Saccharomyces cerevisiae S288C: one gene and its partner. The protein of the gene in region 1 binds, or shares a complex with, the protein of each later gene. Each region holds a gene or a part of one and is shown on either strand. Other genes may lie near its edges. A codon is read from its position in the direction of its gene.

Region 1 (7,136 bases):
ATCATATCAAAATCACAGATGGGAATGAAGAGAAACCGCTTCTTCCAACAAGGCCTAACAAAGCAGAAGTTACAGAAAGTCCGTCATCAAGGTCAATAAAACCGGATGCTGTGGTACCTGAGCGCGTTAAGCCTGCTCCACCTGTCTCACGCTCTACAAAACCGGCGAGCTTTTTAAGTTCTTTGGAAGATAACAAATTGACAAAGGCGAAGAGTTATAATTCGGAAATGGAAACTCCCAAAACAACTGTAAAAAGTTCTCATATCGATTACTTGGATTCCATACAACTAAAACCAACCACCTTATCTCCTACAATGAAAAATAAACCTAAACCAACCCCTCCTTCTCCACCTGCGAAAAGAATTCCAAGATCTGAAAGTTTTATCAAGTCTATGCTAAACTCGAATCTCACGACAACTTCCAAGCCTTCTTTGCCTGAAAAACCTCAAAAGCTACGGAATGCAAATTTGGCCGCCCATAAGACCAAACCAAGCATACCGCCAAAGAAAGTGGAGTTGAATATAGTATTACCTGAGCTACGTCCCGTAGAAACTTCTCCAACAAAGCAGAACTTCGAAAACTCAATCGATTTGCCCAAGTTACGATCCAGCAACCGTAACATTAAAAAAGAAGAGGAGGACAGTATTCCAGAAGCAATAAAAGGTATACAAAATCTGAAGAAAACCAAACAGCAGAAGCCTGCAATCCCTCAGAAAAAATCATTTCTAACAAATAATTCGAAAAATACTACACTCAAAAATGGTGATGATATTAACAAGTTAAATGACGAAATTGAAGCTCTATCATTGCGGAATAACCTGAAGAAACGGCCACCAACGGCGCCACAACGTAAAATTTCTTTGCCAGAGGCATTGCGAAAAGTCGAATTGATGAAAAAATCTAAAACCGAGCCTGTTTTAGAGTCCTCAAACGAACTGAGCATAAACGCAAAATTAGACGCAATAATTGCCTCTAGAAACTTAAGAGCATCTAATACTCTACCAGAACTTAGCGGTGTTAACACTAATATTGCAACTTCTGACAAGTATACTACTTCTAGAGATGAAACAGTGAAGGAAACTAAACCATTAGTTCACCCGAATAAAAATAGGACTCGTGGTCCCAGAAGAAAACTTCCAACACGCGTGTAACTACAGAGTAGACCTCCGTATTTTACACATGTATGTACGTACATATGATGTAACAATAATATGATAATTTAATGGGATACATGTATTATCGTCACTTCCCACGTTTGCGCTTTGACATTTGCTCCCCTTATGAACCTGAAGGAATATAAATCATCGATCTTTTTGCTACACTTTTCCTCCCTTATTAGAAAATAGCAGTAAAATTACAGGCTATTCAAACCCTGAAACATCTCAATTATGGCTTGGACTAGTACATTACCAGCGCATCTACTGAACCTGATCAAAAACTCCAAATATGTTCACGTGGCCACCTGTTCTAAAGACTGCATCCCTTCAGTGGCATTGATGAACTATATCTATGTGCCAGGTGAAAAACTGTTCGGTCAAACAGATAATAAGAATGACTACATTATATTTGTTTCTCCTCAGGACACACAAAAGTTTTACAACATCAAGGAGAACCCTAAGGTCGCCCTGTTGTTTCACGATTGGATCATCGCGAATAATTTGTCAGTGGGCAAGGAAAGCATCTCTGGGACTCCGACGCCGACTTCTATTCCTCATGAAGAGCAACGTCAAAGCGAGCTTTTAAATTTGTTACAGGAGTTAAATCAAGCCGAATTGAACCAAATGAGCGCATCTATTGGTGGCGAAACCGAAATTGTCAATCCTGAAAGTGAAGAATCCAAGTACTATAAAGATTTAATACTAAAGGCTAATCCTGATGCGAAAGCTTTTATATTTGAAAAGAACACCGCCGTTGTTAAAGTTAGAATTGATAATGCTAGGGTATCCAATAATGAGAACAGAACAATGTTTCTAAGTAAAGGGAAGAGTTAACTGTCCTCTGCTTTTCTTTATCTATTTTGCATACGATTCTGTATTTAATTATTCTGTTTTTTTTTTTTTTTTATTTTTTATTTTCATGTACACAAGAAATCTACATTAGCACGTTAATCAATTGACTAGTTACCTTCTTGACCAAAATCTCTAGTGAACTGTTCTTGCTTCAGCAAGTCATCCTCATTCACGGTAGGTCTCGTCGATTTGATAGCCTTTAAGAAATCCTTTATGGTGAGATCTGGTTCTTTTAATTCATCAGCTTCAATATCCGTCCAACTCATCTCGATGGCGCCATCATCACCTGGAGAGCATGGTGTTAGTTTTCTTGTTTCGTCGTCCTCCGTAGAGACATCTTTGAAATGTGTCGCGCTTTGAATTTTTCTTATCGGTTGCATTAGCGCATCTTTCACCACTACAGCAATATCACTCCCGGAATAACCTTCAGTCATTGCACCTAAAGTTCTATAATCTTCCTTGGTCAATACGCATGGAGTGTCGCCGACGTTAATCTCGAACATGGTGGTTCTTGCCGCCAAATCTGGTAATGGTATATATATTCTTCTTTCAAATCTTCTCCTGATGGCACTGTCCAGTTGCCATGGGATATTTGTTGCGCCAAGGACCAAAACACCTTGGGAGTCATTCCCAACACCATTCATTTGTACCAATAATTCTGTTTTAATTCTTCTACTTGCTTCGCTCTCTCCTTCTCCTCTGGTACCTGTTAGCGCATCCACTTCATCTATAAAAATAATAGAAGGTTTATTTTCTCTTGCCATCGCAAATAACTGTTTGACAAGTTTTTCAGATTCACCCATCCACTTAGAAACCAAATCACTGGAACTAACACTGAAAAAGGTAGAATTGGCCTCGGTGGCCACTGCTTTTGCCAAATATGATTTACCTGTACCTGGTGGTCCGTACAATAAGATTCCCGAAGTGGGCTTACGGTTACCTTTGAACAAATGTGGGAACTTGACAGGTAAAATAACGGCTTCTTTAAGGGCCTCTTTGGCTCCTTCCAGTCCAGCCACGTCTTCCCACTTAACATTGGGCTTCTCAGACAAAATAGCACTCGATAAGGCACCTCTTAGCTTTTTGTTGTCTTCTCCACCATTATCCTCACCCTCTTCCTGAGAGATTTTCTTATTACCACCGTTGGAACCACTACCAGCGCTAGGAGATTTCTTTGCCGCGTTTGCCTCTTCACTTTCCAAGTGCTTTTTCAACTGCTCTGCACGGTTTAGATACTCTGTAAACTTCGCTCTTATCAAATCCTTCGACTTAGGGTTTTTCTCGTATTTCAAAGCCAACATCAAATAATCTAATCCGTTATAGTATGCTGTATACGCCTCCTCATACTGCGTGGCTGTGTCCAGGTCAATGGCCTTTTGAACCAGTTCTATTCCCTTAGTTAAAAAATCTCCCGTGCTCATTTGTACCCCATCTACTATAGGCACTCTATGCTGCTTTATTTTTGTCTTCCATGTCCTCAACCCACGATTAAATCGTTCGATATCATGAAGTTCTTATTTTTTTTTTTTTTTCACCCAGCGGGGGTACCCGTAAAGCAATACAATAAATATCATCAAGCAAGAATAAATAGATGTACAGAAAGAACAACCATGACGTGTTGTGTTTCTATTCAGCGTGCGGAACCGAATCCTCAGTCGGAGATTCTCTGAGAATGTTCGTTTGAGGAAGCTTAGGATACTTGGCGTAGAAGTTGGGGCCCTTTGGGGGCTGTAGGGAAGAAACTGGTCGTTGGCGCGACTGGAGTGGCGACATGTGAATCGGACTTGAAGTCACTAACGGGTTTACTGCTCTTACTGGCGAAGGTGGTAAATTTTCTGTCGGTTTGAGGTTGTCTCGCTCAATATTTTTCATGTCTCGACGAGACTCCAGGTATCTTTGATCGATGTTTGCGTCGTCCAACACCGACTGCAACAGATGACACTTTTCCTTGACAAATTGTAGTTCCTTTTGTGTAGAGTGCAGCTGCTGCCGCAATTGCGCAAACTTTGCTTGCCATTGTAGAGGCACACAATCCTGAGAATTTTTAGACAATGGGACAACGCTTTCTTCTTCCTCATCTGCGGGAGACCCCCATACAAACGCTTGGATCTTGGCAAGAGTCTTAGCAATATTGAATCCAAACGCGTGTTGTTGAGCCCTCTTTTTGGAGATATTCTTGTAGTTTTTAGAACGTGTCCTTTGTGAAGCGTGTCTAACATGATTTCTTTCGCGAGGCACAACCACCAATTTGCGCTCTTTTCGTATCCCCAATGTCTTTTCCTGAATTCCCATTGTGATCTTCAATGCCAACCCAACCTTCTTTTTACTTTGTTGGGTCTAAATTATGTTACTTTGTCCATTTCATCTCTTTTCAAGATGGAATCTAAAAGAAGAAAAACGACAAAAGGAACAAAAGTGATGTGACGCGTTATTTTTCGCGTGACATAATAGAAAAATATTTCAACTGGGCATCTTTAACACATGTTACAATAAAGTTGAGATGACTTGTTTATGCCTTTAAAGTTTGTAAGTGGAACTAGAAGCGTCTATGTGTGAAATGTTTGGCTCTGGGAATGTTCTGCCTGTTAAAATTCAGCCTCCGCTGCTTAGGCCACTGGCGTATAGAGTTTTATCAAGAAAATATGGTTTATCAATTAAATCTGATGGACTGTCTGCTCTTGCAGAATTCGTTGGCACTAATATAGGTGCTAACTGGAGACAAGGGCCTGCTACAATAAAATTTCTCGAGCAATTTGCTGCAGTATGGAAACAACAAGAAAGAGGCCTTTTCATCGACCAGAGCGGGGTTAAAGAAGTTATACAGGAGATGAAAGAACGTGAGAAAGTCGAATGGAGTCATGAACACCCTATTCAACATGAGGAGAATATCTTGGGACGGACAGATGACGATGAGAACAACAGTGACGATGAAATGCCGATCGCTGCTGATTCATCCTTACAAAATGTTTCATTATCTTCACCCATGCGACAGCCCACCGAAAGAGATGAATATAAACAGCCTTTCAAGCCAGAAAGCTCCAAGGCGTTGGACTGGAGGGACTACTTCAAAGTTATCAATGCTTCTCAGCAACAAAGATTCTCATACAATCCGCACAAAATGCAATTTATTTTCGTCCCCAATAAAAAGCAGAATGGGCTAGGAGGCATTGCGGGTTTTCTACCAGATATAGAGGACAAAGTTCAAATGTTCTTGACAAGATATTACCTCACGAACGACAGAGTCATGAGAAATGAAAACTTCCAAAACAGTGACATGTTTAATCCATTATCATCTATGGTGTCTTTACAAAATGAACTGTCCAATACTAACCGACAGCAGCAATCCAGCAGTATGAGTATCACCCCAATAAAAAACCTACTAGGTAGGGATGCTCAAAACTTTCTACTATTGGGGCTCTTAAATAAGAACTTTAAGGGCAATTGGTCACTGGAAGATCCGTCTGGATCTGTCGAAATTGACATTTCCCAAACTATCCCTACACAAGGCCATTACTACGTGCCAGGTTGCATGGTTCTTGTGGAAGGAATATACTATTCTGTAGGAAATAAATTCCATGTTACCTCCATGACTTTACCCCCTGGTGAGAGAAGAGAAATTACATTAGAAACGATAGGTAATCTCGATCTCTTAGGAATACATGGCATTTCTAATAACAATTTCATTGCTCGTTTGGATAAAGATTTGAAGATTAGATTACACCTTTTGGAGAAAGAATTAACAGATCATAAATTTGTAATTCTCGGCGCAAATTTGTTCCTAGATGATTTGAAAATTATGACTGCACTCAGCAAAATTTTGCAAAAATTAAATGATGACCCACCGACCCTATTAATTTGGCAAGGTTCTTTCACTTCAGTTCCCGTTTTCGCATCAATGAGTAGCCGGAATATAAGTAGTTCCACTCAATTTAAGAATAATTTCGATGCCTTGGCGACGCTTCTGTCAAGATTTGACAATTTGACCGAAAATACCACAATGATATTTATTCCAGGTCCTAACGATTTATGGGGGTCGATGGTGTCATTGGGGGCAAGTGGGACATTACCGCAAGATCCAATTCCTAGTGCGTTTACCAAAAAAATCAACAAGGTCTGTAAAAACGTTGTATGGAGCTCAAATCCAACTAGAATAGCATACTTATCCCAAGAAATAGTCATTTTCAGGGACGATTTATCCGGAAGATTCAAAAGACACCGTTTGGAATTCCCATTCAACGAGAGCGAAGATGTTTATACTGAAAACGATAACATGATGTCTAAAGACACCGATATTGTACCAATCGATGAATTAGTTAAAGAACCAGACCAGTTACCACAAAAGGTTCAAGAAACAAGAAAACTCGTTAAAACAATACTAGACCAGGGTCATTTATCGCCATTTCTTGATTCCTTGCGCCCAATTTCATGGGATTTGGACCACACTTTGACACTTTGCCCAATACCATCGACAATGGTTCTTTGCGACACTACTTCTGCACAATTTGATTTGACATACAACGGTTGTAAAGTAATTAACCCTGGAAGTTTCATTCATAATAGACGTGCTAGGTATATGGAGTACGTTCCATCCTCAAAGAAAACTATACAAGAAGAGATATATATCTAAATAATGCATCAAAATAAGAACACTTAAACAAGCACGGTAGTGTTGGTACTCTGCCATCTATTTGTATGGATACTTTTTGAATTTTGATGTAACGGATTTCGGCATACAATATATGGGATCTATGGGGACTAAATTGTCGTATCCCATTAAACTTAAACCAGCAACACCAAAAACTGTATGGAAGACATCCACTTCATTTTCAGGCCTGTCGCTTATTCCACCCTTCTTCTCATCTTGACATTTGAGTATAAACTCAGTTAGCTTCTCATAATTTATCCAATCTAGTCTACCAATAATAGCTAATGAAGATAAAACCCACCAACTATAGCAAACATCGGGCAGTTTACTTGGCCTACCGTTTAGTCCACCTTCTGGTAATTGTCGTTCGCAAAGCCACCACCCAATTTCTTCTAGTTGGTCGTCACTAAGCATATCCAATTTGTTAGCAATTGCCAAAGCGCCAAGACAGGTAAAAGCTTGAGCTGCATGGGATTCAGCAT
Region 2 (15,685 bases), on another chromosome or scaffold:
ATGATGAAAATAATGAGATTGGTAACAATGAAGATGAAACTGGTGGTGAAACGGAGGAGGACGCGGACGCTTTAAACTCTGATCACTTCACCAGTTCTATGCCAGATCTGCATAATATTCAACCAAGGACTTCTTCTGCTTCATCTGCTTCTTTAGAAGGGACACCTAAGTTAAACAGGACCAATTCCCAACCCCTTTCGCGCCAGGCATTCAAAAACAGTAAAAAAGCGAATTCTTCTTTGAGTCAAGAAATTGACTTGTCGCAATTATCGACCACTTCAAAAATAAAAATGTTAAAAGCAAATTATTTTCGTTGCGAGACACAATTTGCCATTGCGCTAGAAACAATATCTCAAAGGCTAGCTCGAGTACCGACAGAAGCTAGATTGAGTGCCTTACGAGCCGAGTTGTTTCTATTAAACAGGGACCTACCAGCGGAAGTAGATATCCCCACTTTATTGCCTCCAAATAAAAAAGGAAAGTTACATAAATTAGTGACCATTACTGCTAATGAGGCACAAGTTTTGAACTCTGCAGAAAAAGTTCCATATTTACTCCTGATAGAATACTTGAGAGACGAATTTGATTTTGACCCAACAAGTGAAACCAATGAAAGATTATTAAAGAAGATCAGTGGTAATCAGGGAGGCTTGATATTTGATTTAAATTACATGAATAGAAAAGAAAACAACGAAAATAGAAATGAAAGTACTCTTACTAGCAACAACACTCGATCTTCGGTATATGATAGTAACTCGTTCAACAACGGGGCCTCCCGCAATGAAGGTCTATCCAGTACCTCAAGAAGTGATTCAGCGTCCACAGCTCATGTTAGGACTGAAGTCAATAAAGAGGAAGATTTAGGTGATATGTCAATGGTAAAAGTCAGGAACAGAACGGATGACGAAGCGTATAGAAATGCTTTAGTAATACAGAGTGCCGCAAATGTTCCAATTTTACCTGATGATAGTCAAGACAGAAGCCCAGAGTTGAACTTTGGCTCAAACTTGGACGAAGTACTCATCGAGAATGGAATTAATAGCAAAAATATACATAGCCAAACTGACGCTTTAGCAGACCAGATGAGAGTTTCAGCTGTTATGTTAGCACAATTGGATAAGTCGCCACAACAGTTATCAGAAAGTACCAAACAAATCCGCGCTCAAATTATTTCATCAATGAAGGAGGTGCAGGATAAATTTGGTTACCATGATTTGGAAGCCCTTCATGGAATGGCAGGTGAGAGAAAATTGGAAAACGATTTAATGACGGGTGGTATTGACACTTCATATCTAGGTGAAGATTGGGCTACCAAGAAAGAGAGGATACGTAAAACTTCGGAATATGGCCATTTCGAAAACTGGGATTTATGTTCTGTAATCGCCAAGACGGGTGATGATTTGAGACAGGAGGCGTTTGCATACCAGATGATTCAAGCGATGGCCAATATTTGGGTTAAAGAAAAAGTTGACGTTTGGGTTAAAAGAATGAAAATTTTAATTACTAGTGCGAATACGGGACTTGTGGAGACCATCACAAATGCTATGTCTGTGCATAGTATTAAAAAGGCTTTAACCAAAAAAATGATTGAAGATGCAGAACTAGATGACAAGGGTGGTATTGCCTCTTTGAATGATCACTTCCTTAGAGCTTTTGGTAATCCTAATGGATTTAAGTATAGAAGAGCACAAGACAACTTTGCTTCTTCGTTAGCCGCATATTCTGTCATTTGCTATCTCTTGCAGGTTAAAGATAGACACAACGGTAACATTATGATCGATAACGAAGGCCATGTAAGTCACATCGATTTTGGATTTATGCTATCAAATTCACCCGGCTCAGTGGGCTTTGAGGCCGCACCATTCAAATTAACTTACGAATATATTGAACTGCTAGGCGGAGTAGAGGGAGAAGCGTTTAAAAAGTTTGTTGAACTAACTAAAAGTTCGTTCAAGGCTCTGAGAAAGTATGCTGATCAAATCGTATCAATGTGTGAGATTATGCAAAAGGACAATATGCAGCCTTGTTTCGATGCTGGCGAACAAACAAGTGTACAACTACGACAAAGGTTCCAATTGGACTTATCAGAAAAAGAAGTTGATGACTTCGTAGAAAATTTCTTGATAGGTAAATCTTTGGGTAGTATTTACACCAGAATATACGACCAATTTCAACTTATTACACAGGGTATATATAGCTGAGAAGGAAAATAGCTGTGACAGAACTGGAAAAACAATTTGCAAATGTCCGGAGAACAAAAAAATTGGAATTTTAGTAAAAGGAATATACATATATTTATTTATTGCCGAGAATAATAGAGCAGCTGACTCAGAAAAAGCAAGGTAAAAGAATGAGAGTAAAATAAATATGTGGTTAATTAACCATACATATAAATTATTATCTTATTTTCTGCGTAAAGCGTCAAACCGTTTCTTCAACTCATCTAGTTCATCATTTTCTTGCTCCTTCTTAGTCTTTCTTTTTGTAGTTTTCTTTTCTGATTGTTTCTTTTCGATCACTTCCTTTTTGATATCTTTCGGAATCTTGAGCTCGTTCTTGATATTTTCACTATTCTGCCTAGGCTTTTTAACAGTGATAGGGTGTTTAGCATCTGCATTGTCATTATCGTCATTATCTAAGGCTAAAATAGGCTTTTCTTCGTCATTATCCTCGATATCTCCCGAGGGGTCACTAAAGTCTGAAGAAATGTTAGAAGACGACGAAGATAAGGAATTCTCCAGCTTACTATATGGCACATCGTATGTTTTCGCGATTTCCTTCAAATAAAGATCAACTAGTTCTTCTTTTGGAACTGAGGGAGAGCATTTTTTTATAATCTTTTCAGGGACATCGATATGATCTGCTATTACTCCATTAACAAACTCAACGTTTATTTTCCAGGCCATCAAATCTTTCAATTGGCTAAGTTCTTTGACTTCATCAACGAAAAGAATCGCATAGATTAGGGATCTGATAGCTTCGTTAATACCATCATCCATATGCTCTTTGACAAGCTGTTCCTCGGTGGAGATATCGTTTATTACCTGCACTCTAGCCAGTAGTAATTCACAATATAGTTCCAATATCTCTAGTAGCTCAATATGAATATCGTCATGAATTAGCGTCTCCACACGATAATGCGCCTTCTGTTCTTTATTTGTCAGTAACAGTTGTGCAACCTGTCTTCGAGACTGCTTTGCAATCGCCTGTTGCTTTTCTTGAGCATATCTTAACCTTTGAATACACATTTTCAGGCATGTTTTAAGCTTGATCTATAACAATAATTTGGATGATAGTTTTACCCTTCTTCAGTTAGTACATCCTAGATCTTTTGCATACTAAAGCTTTTTAAAAATTACTATAAAATATAAACATACAGTGAACGGAATCATTGACGGAGCCATTTTTAGTTGTCGTATTCTCTTATCTATCTTCTATGTTGACTAGTTCTGATTGATTAGCTGGAACTAATAGTATATATAATTTTCACACCCTTTGGAATTCAGAAGGCGTTTTTTTTTTCATGAAACAAAACAATAGAGTGCGGATAGCCGATTCAGTTGATTCTAAAAGTATATAAAATGCGATAAGCGCATAAGCAGCCATTATAAACGTACATCTGAGTCTAGATATATACGTTTGTGTAGCGGGAAACGTTAAAAAAAAAAATCTTAATTATAGTTTATCAAATGACCATATCAACAGGATATTTTAATTCGTCATGTTGGCCCTTGGTGTCATATTCACTTAATCCGACAATGCCTCCAAACTTTAAAAATCTATCAAAACGTTTCAATCGTAAATCGTCAACTTTCTTAACCATATCTGGCCAATAGACTTCATGTTTATACTTGAAGTCTAACAGACCATTGTATAGAGCATCTAGTTGAGATGGCTCTATGTGGTTTTCAAATGGTTCGTCAAAGATAGCCTTCGCCTTAGTGGCAGGGTCAAGGAACGGATACATCATCTTCAAAAAAGCCCACGCAAACCATGGGATATTGATCAGGACACACTTAGCTAACCTTTCAGGGTAATGATCTTGCATGACGTTCAAACACATCCTAGCAATAGAGATGGGTGGAGCTTTATCAGTGATAATACCAGGTTCTTTATAACTTTTGAAATCTACCAAGACTGTGATCTTTTCTACACCTTGGGGAGCTACAGTTGTCGCAGTTTCCATCATGTAGACTAATTCTTGGACTTGTCTAAAGGAAGATTCTGTGTTTTGACGACCATTTTTCATGTAGTATAGAGGTCTTTTAGCGTTGTCAAAGCCCAAAATAACCTGTTTACCAGTTTCGTTCTCAACGGCAACTTTGTCAGCTGTTAAAGGGTCTTTGTCCTCCTTACCATGTGTAAGTCCAATTTCTCTCCTCCATACCAAGGTTTTGGTGAGACCTTTTATGGCGTTCGCGGTGTTCCATTTATTGGCTCTTAGGTATCTTAGAAAACACTCCCTAGAAAGCCAAAACTTCTCCCAATCACTCAAGGGTCTGTCATTGGCATGTGTCCCATTGTCAAGGTCATTGAGATTTTCTGGTAATTTCAGATCATCATCTTGAAAATGTCGTAAGACAGCTCTATATTTTTCGTTTTGATCTTCGGAGATGGGTTCCAGTAGAGGTGCGTTACCATACTTGGCAGGAGGGTCCAAGAATATCTTATCACATGGAATAAGTTTCTCTTTAGGCACAGCAGGCGTATGGTCCCGTTTTCTTGAAAAAAGACCCATTTTTGTTCTTCTTCTTGTGCTTTCTTTGTGTGATTTTTCAGGGTCTTTTTTTTTAAACAATGATGTAAATTAAATCTATCTAAAAAGCGTGATTTTTCCCACGAATTTTAATCCCTCTATTGTTCTCTTTCCACTCCATATTGAGTGAAAGGAAAAATAAGAAAAGTAAATAGAAAATTTATGACGTAGGAATAAAAGTATATAAGTATTTAACAAATTGACCGTAGATAATAATAATGCGCATGAAATTAAATCCTCTCTTTGATCTCTTCAATCAAGATCAACCCATTAACCACATTAGAACATTTTGCCAAATGAAGCCATAGACGAATAGGAAGTAATTGCACTTCTTGACGGTCGATTTGCTGATGGAAACGTGTATATCATCGTCTTCAGCACCGGAGCGGCTTAGTAAATTGAACTTGACGGATCTTAGTAGGAATACGCCAAAGGCAATAAATAAGTAAAATTTTATCAAAATATTCAGGTTAAATGGCATGGTCACGTTGGTCAAAAGCTGGGCGAGAATCAATGGAACAAATTTGTAGCCGACATAGCACAACAGTTCGACCAAACTGAAGCTTGGAATCTTAGAATCGATCAAAAGATACAAGCCAAGCTTCAAAATCAACAAATCTAAACACACAAACGCCAGAGTAGAAGACAGTTTGTAGTACAAGTCTTCGGGGTTGAATGAACCCTTCAGACCTTGCTGCGTATTCCAGATGAGAATATAGGTAACTAGTCCCATAATAGGCATGTACATGTCTGGGGAGTTCACGTCATCCCTTGGTGGCAAAAAGTTGCCAGAGTCCATAATTCGTTGCCAGTTCTTGGTTCCGTTAAGAAAAGGAACTAGGATGAGTTTCAATTTATTGATGACATAACGGGTGCTGACTTGAAAATACGTTGAAATTTGTTGAGAGCCGGCAGCGTTTGCAGTGGCTTTATTGACCGTTTCTTGAAACTGGTTAAAGTTATCCTGACCAATAAAATTAGAAAATGCGCTCTGCCCTAGTTGGAATGCCATCGAACCACGAGGATCTTGGAATGGAAAACCACCGCCACTGCCATTTACGTTTGCATTCATATTCGCATTACCTTGGCCATTCACGGGCGTGTTCCTCGGAATTTGCATTGGTCGTTGCTGTTGTGGAGTGTGGGAAAAGCGATCGTTAACGCCATTCTGCTCACTTGTTGCATATGCGTACGGATTATAAGACATCTTGGTATGGGCCTTTGGTTTTCGTTTTCTGCTATTGATACTCAGTAGCGAGGTCTTACAATCGAAAAGTCAAAAAGATGAGTTGTAGTATAAAACAACAGCTCTGGTGTGCAATATGGATCTTGATACAGAGTCTCGGATATGCTGTTTTAGCACTGAGAAAAAGTAATAGTAACACTGTCAGTGTTCGTCAAAGGCCCAAGTTTATTGTCATTTGAATTGTCAGAATGGTTTATTTTCAGGTAGGGTAACCAGAACGCGTAAGTTTCTTGCATCTTTTACCATTTTAACTGGAAGAGGACCTATCAAAAAGAGCATATGATGATGAAAGAGCACATTCTATCAAGATAACACTCTCAGGGGACAAGTATATGATGTTTGGCAAGAAAAAAAACAACGGAGGATCTTCCACTGCAAGATATTCAGCTGGCAACAAGTACAACACACTCTCAAATAATTATGCGCTTAGCGCGCAACAGCTCTTAAATGCTAGTAAGATCGATGACATCGATTCGATGATGGGATTTGAAAGATACGTACCGCCGCAATACAATGGCAGGTTTGATGCGAAGGATATAGATCAGATTCCAGGCCGCGTAGGGTGGCTGACGAACATGCACGCAACGCTGGTCTCTCAGGAAACCTTATCCAGTGGTAGTAATGGCGGCGGCAATTCGAATGACGGAGAACGTGTAACGACCAACCAAGGTATTTCCGGAGTTGACTTCTACTTTTTAGATGAAGAGGGTGGGAGCTTCAAGTCGACAGTTGTCTATGACCCATACTTCTTTATTGCGTGTAACGATGAATCAAGAGTAAATGATGTGGAGGAACTAGTGAAAAAATATCTGGAATCTTGTCTCAAAAGCTTACAAATCATTAGAAAGGAAGATCTTACCATGGACAATCACCTTTTAGGGCTGCAGAAGACACTTATTAAGTTATCATTTGTAAATTCCAATCAGTTATTCGAGGCCAGGAAACTCCTGAGGCCAATCTTGCAGGATAATGCCAATAATAATGTGCAAAGAAATATATATAACGTTGCTGCAAATGGCTCGGAAAAAGTTGACGCCAAACATCTGATCGAAGATATCAGGGAATATGATGTGCCGTATCATGTCCGAGTATCTATAGACAAGGACATTAGAGTCGGTAAATGGTATAAGGTAACTCAACAGGGATTCATTGAAGATACTAGGAAAATTGCATTTGCCGACCCTGTGGTAATGGCATTTGATATAGAAACCACGAAGCCGCCTTTAAAATTCCCGGATTCCGCCGTAGATCAAATAATGATGATTTCGTATATGATCGATGGGGAAGGTTTTTTGATAACAAATAGGGAGATAATCTCTGAGGATATTGAAGACTTTGAGTATACACCGAAACCGGAGTATCCTGGTTTTTTCACCATATTTAACGAAAACGATGAAGTGGCGCTTCTACAAAGGTTTTTTGAACATATAAGAGATGTACGACCCACTGTTATATCCACCTTCAATGGTGACTTTTTCGATTGGCCTTTTATACATAACAGAAGTAAGATTCACGGCTTGGACATGTTCGATGAAATTGGTTTCGCTCCAGATGCTGAAGGTGAGTACAAGTCCTCATACTGCTCTCACATGGATTGTTTCCGTTGGGTGAAGCGTGATTCTTATTTACCACAAGGTTCCCAGGGTTTAAAAGCTGTTACTCAATCTAAGCTAGGTTATAACCCAATTGAACTGGATCCCGAATTAATGACGCCGTATGCATTTGAAAAGCCACAGCACCTTTCCGAATATTCTGTTTCCGATGCAGTCGCTACGTATTACCTTTACATGAAATATGTTCATCCTTTTATCTTTTCCCTTTGTACTATTATTCCTTTGAACCCGGATGAAACATTGAGAAAGGGTACCGGTACTTTGTGTGAAATGTTGTTGATGGTTCAAGCTTATCAACATAATATTCTTCTACCAAATAAGCATACAGATCCCATTGAGAGGTTCTATGATGGACATCTTCTAGAATCCGAGACTTACGTGGGTGGACATGTGGAGTCATTAGAAGCTGGTGTTTTTAGGAGTGATTTGAAGAATGAATTCAAGATAGATCCTTCTGCCATTGATGAATTATTACAAGAATTACCAGAAGCTTTGAAATTTAGTGTGGAAGTTGAAAATAAGTCCAGTGTAGATAAAGTAACGAATTTTGAGGAAATAAAAAACCAGATAACGCAGAAATTATTAGAGTTGAAGGAAAACAATATAAGAAACGAACTACCTTTGATCTATCATGTAGATGTCGCCTCTATGTACCCAAACATCATGACTACAAATAGACTACAACCAGATAGTATCAAAGCAGAGCGCGATTGTGCTAGTTGCGATTTTAATAGACCCGGAAAAACCTGTGCAAGAAAGTTAAAATGGGCTTGGAGAGGAGAATTCTTTCCCAGTAAGATGGATGAGTATAACATGATCAAGCGTGCATTACAAAATGAGACTTTTCCCAACAAAAACAAGTTTTCTAAAAAGAAAGTTTTGACATTTGATGAACTAAGTTACGCAGACCAAGTTATCCACATAAAAAAACGTTTAACTGAATATTCAAGGAAAGTTTATCATAGGGTTAAAGTATCAGAAATTGTCGAACGAGAAGCCATTGTCTGCCAAAGAGAAAATCCATTCTACGTCGATACCGTGAAATCCTTTCGTGATAGGCGTTACGAATTCAAAGGTTTAGCCAAGACTTGGAAGGGAAATCTGTCCAAAATTGACCCATCTGATAAGCATGCGAGAGACGAGGCCAAAAAGATGATTGTGCTTTATGACTCATTACAATTAGCTCACAAAGTTATTTTGAATTCGTTTTATGGGTATGTTATGAGGAAAGGCTCTCGTTGGTATTCCATGGAAATGGCGGGGATTACGTGTTTAACAGGTGCCACGATCATTCAAATGGCGAGAGCTTTAGTAGAAAGGGTAGGAAGACCATTAGAATTAGATACTGATGGTATTTGGTGTATCTTACCAAAATCTTTCCCTGAAACTTACTTTTTTACATTAGAAAATGGTAAAAAGCTTTATCTCTCCTACCCATGTTCCATGCTGAATTACAGAGTTCACCAAAAGTTTACGAATCACCAATACCAAGAATTAAAAGACCCATTGAACTATATATATGAGACGCACAGTGAAAACACGATTTTTTTCGAAGTTGACGGACCATATAAGGCCATGATTTTGCCTAGTTCCAAGGAAGAAGGAAAAGGTATAAAGAAAAGATATGCTGTCTTCAATGAAGACGGCTCACTTGCTGAACTGAAAGGTTTTGAATTGAAGAGGCGTGGTGAATTACAACTAATAAAAAATTTTCAAAGTGATATTTTCAAGGTCTTTTTGGAAGGTGATACATTAGAAGGATGTTACAGTGCTGTAGCAAGCGTATGTAACCGTTGGTTAGATGTTCTTGATTCACATGGTCTTATGTTAGAAGATGAAGACTTGGTCAGTTTGATTTGTGAAAATAGAAGTATGTCAAAAACTTTAAAGGAATATGAAGGGCAAAAATCTACTTCTATTACGACGGCAAGGAGATTGGGGGATTTTTTGGGTGAAGATATGGTAAAAGATAAAGGTCTACAATGTAAATATATTATTAGTTCAAAACCTTTCAATGCACCTGTTACTGAACGAGCCATTCCAGTCGCAATATTTTCAGCGGACATTCCCATCAAAAGGTCTTTTCTGAGGCGATGGACATTAGATCCATCTTTGGAAGATCTGGATATCAGAACCATAATCGATTGGGGTTATTATAGAGAAAGACTTGGATCTGCTATACAAAAGATAATTACTATTCCAGCAGCATTACAAGGGGTTTCCAATCCTGTTCCAAGGGTTGAACATCCAGATTGGCTAAAAAGAAAAATCGCTACAAAGGAGGATAAGTTTAAGCAGACTTCACTAACCAAATTTTTTTCGAAGACAAAGAATGTACCAACAATGGGCAAGATAAAAGATATCGAGGATTTGTTTGAACCAACTGTAGAAGAAGATAACGCCAAAATTAAAATTGCAAGAACTACTAAAAAGAAAGCCGTATCCAAGAGGAAAAGAAATCAGCTTACAAATGAAGAAGATCCACTAGTATTGCCCTCGGAGATTCCTTCCATGGACGAGGACTATGTTGGGTGGCTAAATTATCAAAAAATTAAATGGAAAATCCAAGCAAGAGATAGAAAGCGTCGAGACCAATTATTTGGTAATACAAACAGCTCCCGTGAAAGAAGTGCACTAGGAAGTATGATTAGGAAGCAAGCTGAATCATATGCGAACTCCACTTGGGAGGTCTTACAATACAAGGATTCCGGTGAGCCAGGGGTTTTGGAAGTATTTGTAACAATTAATGGCAAAGTCCAGAACATCACCTTCCATATACCAAAAACTATTTATATGAAATTCAAATCTCAAACAATGCCGCTACAAAAGATTAAGAATTGCCTTATTGAAAAATCTTCTGCATCGTTACCAAATAATCCCAAAACGTCTAATCCAGCAGGCGGTCAGCTATTCAAAATTACTCTACCGGAATCTGTCTTTCTGGAAGAAAAGGAAAACTGCACTAGTATCTTCAACGATGAAAATGTACTTGGTGTATTTGAGGGCACTATCACTCCTCATCAAAGAGCGATCATGGATTTGGGAGCTTCGGTAACGTTCCGCTCAAAAGCAATGGGTGCGTTAGGCAAGGGAATACAGCAGGGTTTTGAAATGAAGGATCTTTCAATGGCGGAAAATGAAAGGTATCTGAGTGGATTTTCAATGGACATTGGCTATTTACTACATTTCCCAACATCAATTGGGTATGAATTTTTTTCATTATTCAAGTCATGGGGAGATACTATTACTATATTAGTTTTGAAACCATCCAACCAGGCTCAGGAAATAAATGCCTCATCATTAGGACAAATATACAAACAAATGTTTGAAAAAAAGAAAGGTAAAATAGAAACATATTCTTACTTGGTTGATATTAAAGAAGATATCAATTTTGAGTTTGTATATTTTACAGATATCTCAAAATTGTACAGAAGACTATCACAGGAAACTACTAAATTAAAAGAAGAAAGAGGTCTGCAGTTTTTACTCTTGTTACAATCTCCGTTTATCACTAAGCTCTTAGGCACAATCCGGCTTCTAAACCAGATGCCCATTGTTAAGCTTTCCTTGAATGAAGTTCTTCTACCCCAATTGAACTGGCAACCGACATTATTGAAGAAACTTGTTAACCACGTTTTATCCAGTGGTTCGTGGATTTCTCACTTGATCAAGTTATCCCAGTATAGTAACATTCCAATCTGTAATTTGAGGCTGGATAGTATGGATTATATTATTGATGTTCTTTATGCAAGAAAACTAAAAAAAGAGAACATCGTGCTTTGGTGGAATGAGAAAGCTCCACTTCCAGATCATGGAGGCATTCAAAATGATTTTGATTTAAATACATCATGGATAATGAATGATTCAGAATTTCCCAAAATTAATAACTCAGGTGTGTATGACAATGTAGTTCTCGATGTTGGTGTTGATAATTTAACAGTGAACACAATTTTGACATCAGCATTAATCAATGATGCTGAAGGCAGTGATCTAGTTAACAATAATATGGGTATAGATGACAAAGATGCCGTTATTAACTCGCCATCTGAATTCGTGCACGACGCCTTTTCTAATGACGCTTTGAATGTTTTAAGAGGTATGTTAAAGGAGTGGTGGGATGAGGCCCTAAAAGAAAATTCAACCGCAGATTTGTTGGTAAATTCCCTGGCAAGTTGGGTTCAAAACCCGAATGCGAAACTATTCGACGGATTACTAAGATATCACGTTCATAACTTAACAAAAAAAGCCTTACTTCAATTAGTAAATGAATTTAGTGCACTTGGCTCAACTATTGTATATGCAGACAGGAATCAAATTCTAATAAAGACAAACAAGTACTCACCTGAAAACTGTTACGCCTACAGCCAATATATGATGAAGGCAGTTAGAACAAATCCAATGTTTAGTTATCTGGACTTAAATATCAAACGTTATTGGGATCTGCTAATATGGATGGATAAGTTTAATTTTAGTGGATTAGCATGTATTGAAATAGAGGAAAAGGAAAATCAGGATTATACCGCTGTTTCGCAATGGCAACTAAAGAAGTTTCTGTCACCAATATATCAGCCCGAATTTGAGGATTGGATGATGATCATATTGGATAGTATGCTAAAGACAAAGCAGAGCTATCTAAAATTGAATTCAGGGACGCAAAGACCTACCCAAATAGTTAATGTAAAAAAACAAGATAAGGAAGATAGTGTTGAAAACTCGTTGAACGGATTTTCTCACCTTTTTTCCAAACCACTAATGAAAAGAGTCAAAAAGCTTTTTAAAAACCAGCAAGAGTTCATTTTAGATCCTCAGTATGAGGCAGACTATGTTATTCCTGTTCTTCCTGGTTCCCATCTGAATGTGAAAAATCCCCTTCTAGAACTTGTCAAATCACTCTGCCATGTCATGTTACTTTCAAAGAGTACAATTTTAGAAATCAGGACCCTGAGAAAAGAACTGCTGAAGATATTTGAATTGCGTGAGTTTGCTAAAGTAGCGGAATTCAAAGATCCAAGTTTGAGTCTCGTGGTGCCGGATTTTTTATGTGAATACTGTTTTTTCATTTCTGATATTGACTTTTGTAAGGCAGCTCCTGAATCTATTTTTTCATGCGTCAGATGTCACAAAGCCTTTAATCAAGTATTGTTGCAAGAACACCTGATTCAAAAACTACGTTCTGATATCGAATCCTATTTAATTCAAGATTTGAGATGCTCCAGATGTCATAAAGTGAAACGTGACTATATGAGTGCCCACTGTCCATGTGCCGGCGCGTGGGAAGGAACTCTCCCCAGAGAAAGCATTGTTCAAAAGTTAAATGTGTTTAAGCAAGTAGCCAAGTATTACGGTTTTGATATATTATTGAGTTGTATTGCTGATTTGACCATATGAGTAAGCAGTATATAACGCGAGGTTCAATGGCCTCTTTACCATGAAAAAAAAAAAAAAAAAAAAAAAAAGGTAAGGAAAAAGAGTATTTTCAATTCGTTTCTGAACATATAAATATAAATAACCGAAAAATTAGCCCTTGAACATAATTAACACTCTTCTTTGATATTTAAATCACAAGTACTTTTCTTTTATTTTCTTCTTAATACTTTTGGAAATAAAATGAATGTGACCACTCCGGAAGTTGCTTTTAGGGAATATCAAACCAACTGTCTCGCATCGTATATTTCTGCTGATCCAGACATAACTCCTTCAAATTTAATCTTGCAAGGTTATAGTGGAACAGGAAAAACCTACACTTTGAAGAAGTATTTTAATGCGAATCCAAATTTGCATGCAGTATGGCTGGAACCTGTTGAGTTGGTTTCTTGGAAGCCCTTACTGCAGGCGATAGCACGTACTGTACAATATAAATTGAAAACCCTATATCCAAACATTCCCACCACAGATTACGATCCTTTACAGGTTGAAGAGCCATTTCTTTTGGTAAAGACGTTGCACAATATTTTTGTCCAATATGAATCTTTGCAAGAAAAGACTTGCTTGTTCTTGATATTGGATGGTTTCGATAGTTTACAAGATTTAGACGCCGCACTGTTTAACAAATATATCAAACTAAATGAATTACTTCCAAAAGATTCTAAAATTAATATAAAATTCATTTACACGATGTTAGAGACATCATTTTTGCAAAGATATTCTACACATTGCATTCCAACTGTTATGTTTCCGAGGTATAATGTGGACGAAGTTTCTACTATATTAGTGATGTCTAGATGTGGCGAACTCATGGAAGATTCTTGTCTACGTAAGCGTATCATTGAAGAGCAGATAACGGACTGTACAGACGATCAATTTCAAAATGTAGCTGCGAACTTCATTCACTTAATTGTGCAGGCTTTTCATTCTTATACTGGAAACGACATATTCGCATTGAATGACTTGATAGACTTCAAATGGCCCAAGTATGTATCTCGCATTACTAAGGAAAACATATTTGAACCACTGGCTCTTTACAAAAGTGCCATCAAACTATTTTTAAGCACAGATGATAATTTAAGTGAAAATGGACAAGGTGAAAGCGCGATAACCACAAATCGTGATGACCTTGAGAACAGTCAAACTTACGACTTATCAATAATTTCGAAGTATCTGCTCATAGCCTCATATATTTGTTCATATCTGGAACCTAGATACGATGCGAGTATTTTCTCTAGGAAAACACGTATCATACAAGGTAGAGCTGCTTATGGACGAAGAAAGAAGAAAGAAGTTAACCCTAGATATTTACAGCCTTCTTTATTTGCTATTGAAAGACTTTTGGCTATTTTCCAAGCTATATTCCCTATTCAAGGTAAGGCGGAGAGTGGTTCCCTATCTGCACTTCGTGAGGAATCCTTAATGAAAGCGAATATCGAGGTTTTTCAAAATTTATCCGAATTGCATACATTGAAATTAATAGCTACAACCATGAACAAGAATATCGACTATTTGAGTCCTAAAGTCAGGTGGAAAGTAAACGTTCCCTGGGAAATTATTAAAGAAATATCAGAATCTGTTCATTTCAATATCAGCGATTACTTCAGCGATATTCACGAATGATTATCTCCCTGGAAGGTATCCAGAGGGCAGGATACGTTCGAAACAACAACTACGTTATATAAATATTTATACATAGTGGGATAGAATGAACAATTATCAAGTAAACCTTGTATTTTTTGTTCCCACGCTCTACGCTCTGTTTCTTGGATATGGTAATCAAAGATTAATACGTATAACCGTTATTAATTCAGTCCACTAGAAACTATTAAAAGCGCCCTACTGTATGGAAAAACAATGAATGAGGAGACTGAACGGCGCAAAATTGTTAGTTTAGTTGCTCTTTTTGGCGGCCGGCGATAATGTTCTTCACTTGGTATTCTTACCAGGATTGAGCCTGATTTTGTTTTGTCTTATTCTTTGCGATGTCTTCATTTTCTACAAAACCTCTAATTTCTCCGGCAATGGCCCTTGAAACGTCTTCAAAGACTTCAAATGTCACGGTGGGGGTTCTTTTATCTTTAACTAATCGATGAAGAGTTATTAGAATGGTTCTAAACTTATTTTTCAATTTTATTAACACCCTCTCAAATTCCATCACACTTTCATCATCGTTATTCATTTTCAAACCTTTCATTAAAGTACGAATGGTATGTATATTCTTTTCTAGTGTTGGACTATGCAATCCATACGATTCTATAACATCACACAAACCTTCCATTTGTCCCAGGAGCGTAAATCTTTGGAATCCCACTTGTAAACCATACTGTTTACCTTCTAGAAAGCTCTGCTTTATATTCTCATTCTGGCCCTCCAGAAAACCTTCTTGGTAATACTGTTCTTCTAGGTTTAGTAAATTATCAAAATCCATTTTTATTTGTCCAGTGATCTTTACTTTCCATTTACTCTTCAAATATGATAAGTGATTTGATTTAAACAAGTTTTTTTTCATTTTTCTTATAAAACGATTTCTCACCATGATTGAGATTTTTATATTAGTAAGATTATACTGAAAAGGCAAATGGCTACATAGCCAACAAAGAATAAAACAATAAAACAATAAAAAAAGACTTTTTTCTTCGTAAG

Evidence for each region.
Region 2: the proteins of DPB2 (region 1) and POL2 are in contact, whole or in part, in a cryo-EM structure (PDB 6WJV), measured with the Saccharomyces cerevisiae proteins. Residues at the interface, in NP_015501.2 of Saccharomyces cerevisiae: Phe207 (codon at 5,185), Leu208 (codon at 5,188), Pro209 (codon at 5,191), Ile211 (codon at 5,197), Phe218 (codon at 5,218), Leu219 (codon at 5,221), Tyr222 (codon at 5,230), Leu287 (codon at 5,425), Asn289 (codon at 5,431), Asn291 (codon at 5,437), Phe292 (codon at 5,440), Glu299 (codon at 5,461), Asp300 (codon at 5,464), Pro301 (codon at 5,467), Asp409 (codon at 5,791), Asp410 (codon at 5,794), Leu411 (codon at 5,797), Lys412 (codon at 5,800), Ile413 (codon at 5,803), Ser440 (codon at 5,884), Val441 (codon at 5,887), Pro442 (codon at 5,890), Val443 (codon at 5,893), Phe444 (codon at 5,896), Ala445 (codon at 5,899), Ser446 (codon at 5,902), Met447 (codon at 5,905), Ser448 (codon at 5,908), Ser449 (codon at 5,911), Arg450 (codon at 5,914); in NP_014137.1 of Saccharomyces cerevisiae: Asp1115 (codon at 9,677), Ile1116 (codon at 9,680), Pro1117 (codon at 9,683), Glu1133 (codon at 9,731), Tyr1327 (codon at 10,313), Asp1329 (codon at 10,319), Ser1330 (codon at 10,322), Glu1332 (codon at 10,328), Pro1333 (codon at 10,331), Gln1369 (codon at 10,439), Glu1410 (codon at 10,562), Lys1411 (codon at 10,565), Asn1413 (codon at 10,571), Cys1414 (codon at 10,574), Ser1416 (codon at 10,580), Phe1418 (codon at 10,586), Asn1419 (codon at 10,589), Gly1425 (codon at 10,607), Val1426 (codon at 10,610), Phe1427 (codon at 10,613), Glu1428 (codon at 10,616), Pro1595 (codon at 11,117), Phe1596 (codon at 11,120), Thr1598 (codon at 11,126), Lys1599 (codon at 11,129), Gly1602 (codon at 11,138), Thr1603 (codon at 11,141), Leu1606 (codon at 11,150), Lys1614 (codon at 11,174), Leu1617 (codon at 11,183).

The regions. Positions count from the first base shown.
Region 1 is NC_001148.4:884,408-891,543, forward strand, and holds DPB2 (DNA polymerase epsilon noncatalytic subunit), read left to right. Parts: upstream 1-4,566; coding exon 4,567-6,636; downstream 6,637-7,136. Other genes in the region: BSP1 (Bsp1p), read left to right, coding at 1-1,151; YPR172W (pyridoxal 5'-phosphate synthase), read left to right, coding at 1,389-1,991; AAA family ATPase VPS4, read right to left, coding at 2,117-3,430; CSA1 (Csa1p), read right to left, coding at 3,636-4,301; Rab geranylgeranyltransferase BET2, read right to left, coding at 6,694-7,136. UniProt on the Saccharomyces cerevisiae protein: As accessory component of the DNA polymerase epsilon complex participates in chromosomal DNA replication.
Region 2 is NC_001146.8:141,878-157,562, forward strand, and holds POL2 (DNA polymerase epsilon catalytic subunit), read left to right. Parts: upstream 1-6,334; coding exon 6,335-13,003; downstream 13,004-15,685. Other genes in the region: PIK1 (1-phosphatidylinositol 4-kinase), read left to right, coding at 1-2,201; IST1 (Ist1p), read right to left, coding at 2,403-3,272, 3,378-3,404; PDR17 (phosphatidylinositol transporter), read right to left, coding at 3,686-4,738; protein transporter YIF1, read right to left, coding at 5,019-5,963; ORC5 (origin recognition complex subunit 5), read left to right, coding at 13,223-14,662; ribosome biosynthesis protein LTO1, read right to left, coding at 14,982-15,470. UniProt on the Saccharomyces cerevisiae protein: Catalytic component of the DNA polymerase epsilon complex which participates in chromosomal DNA replication.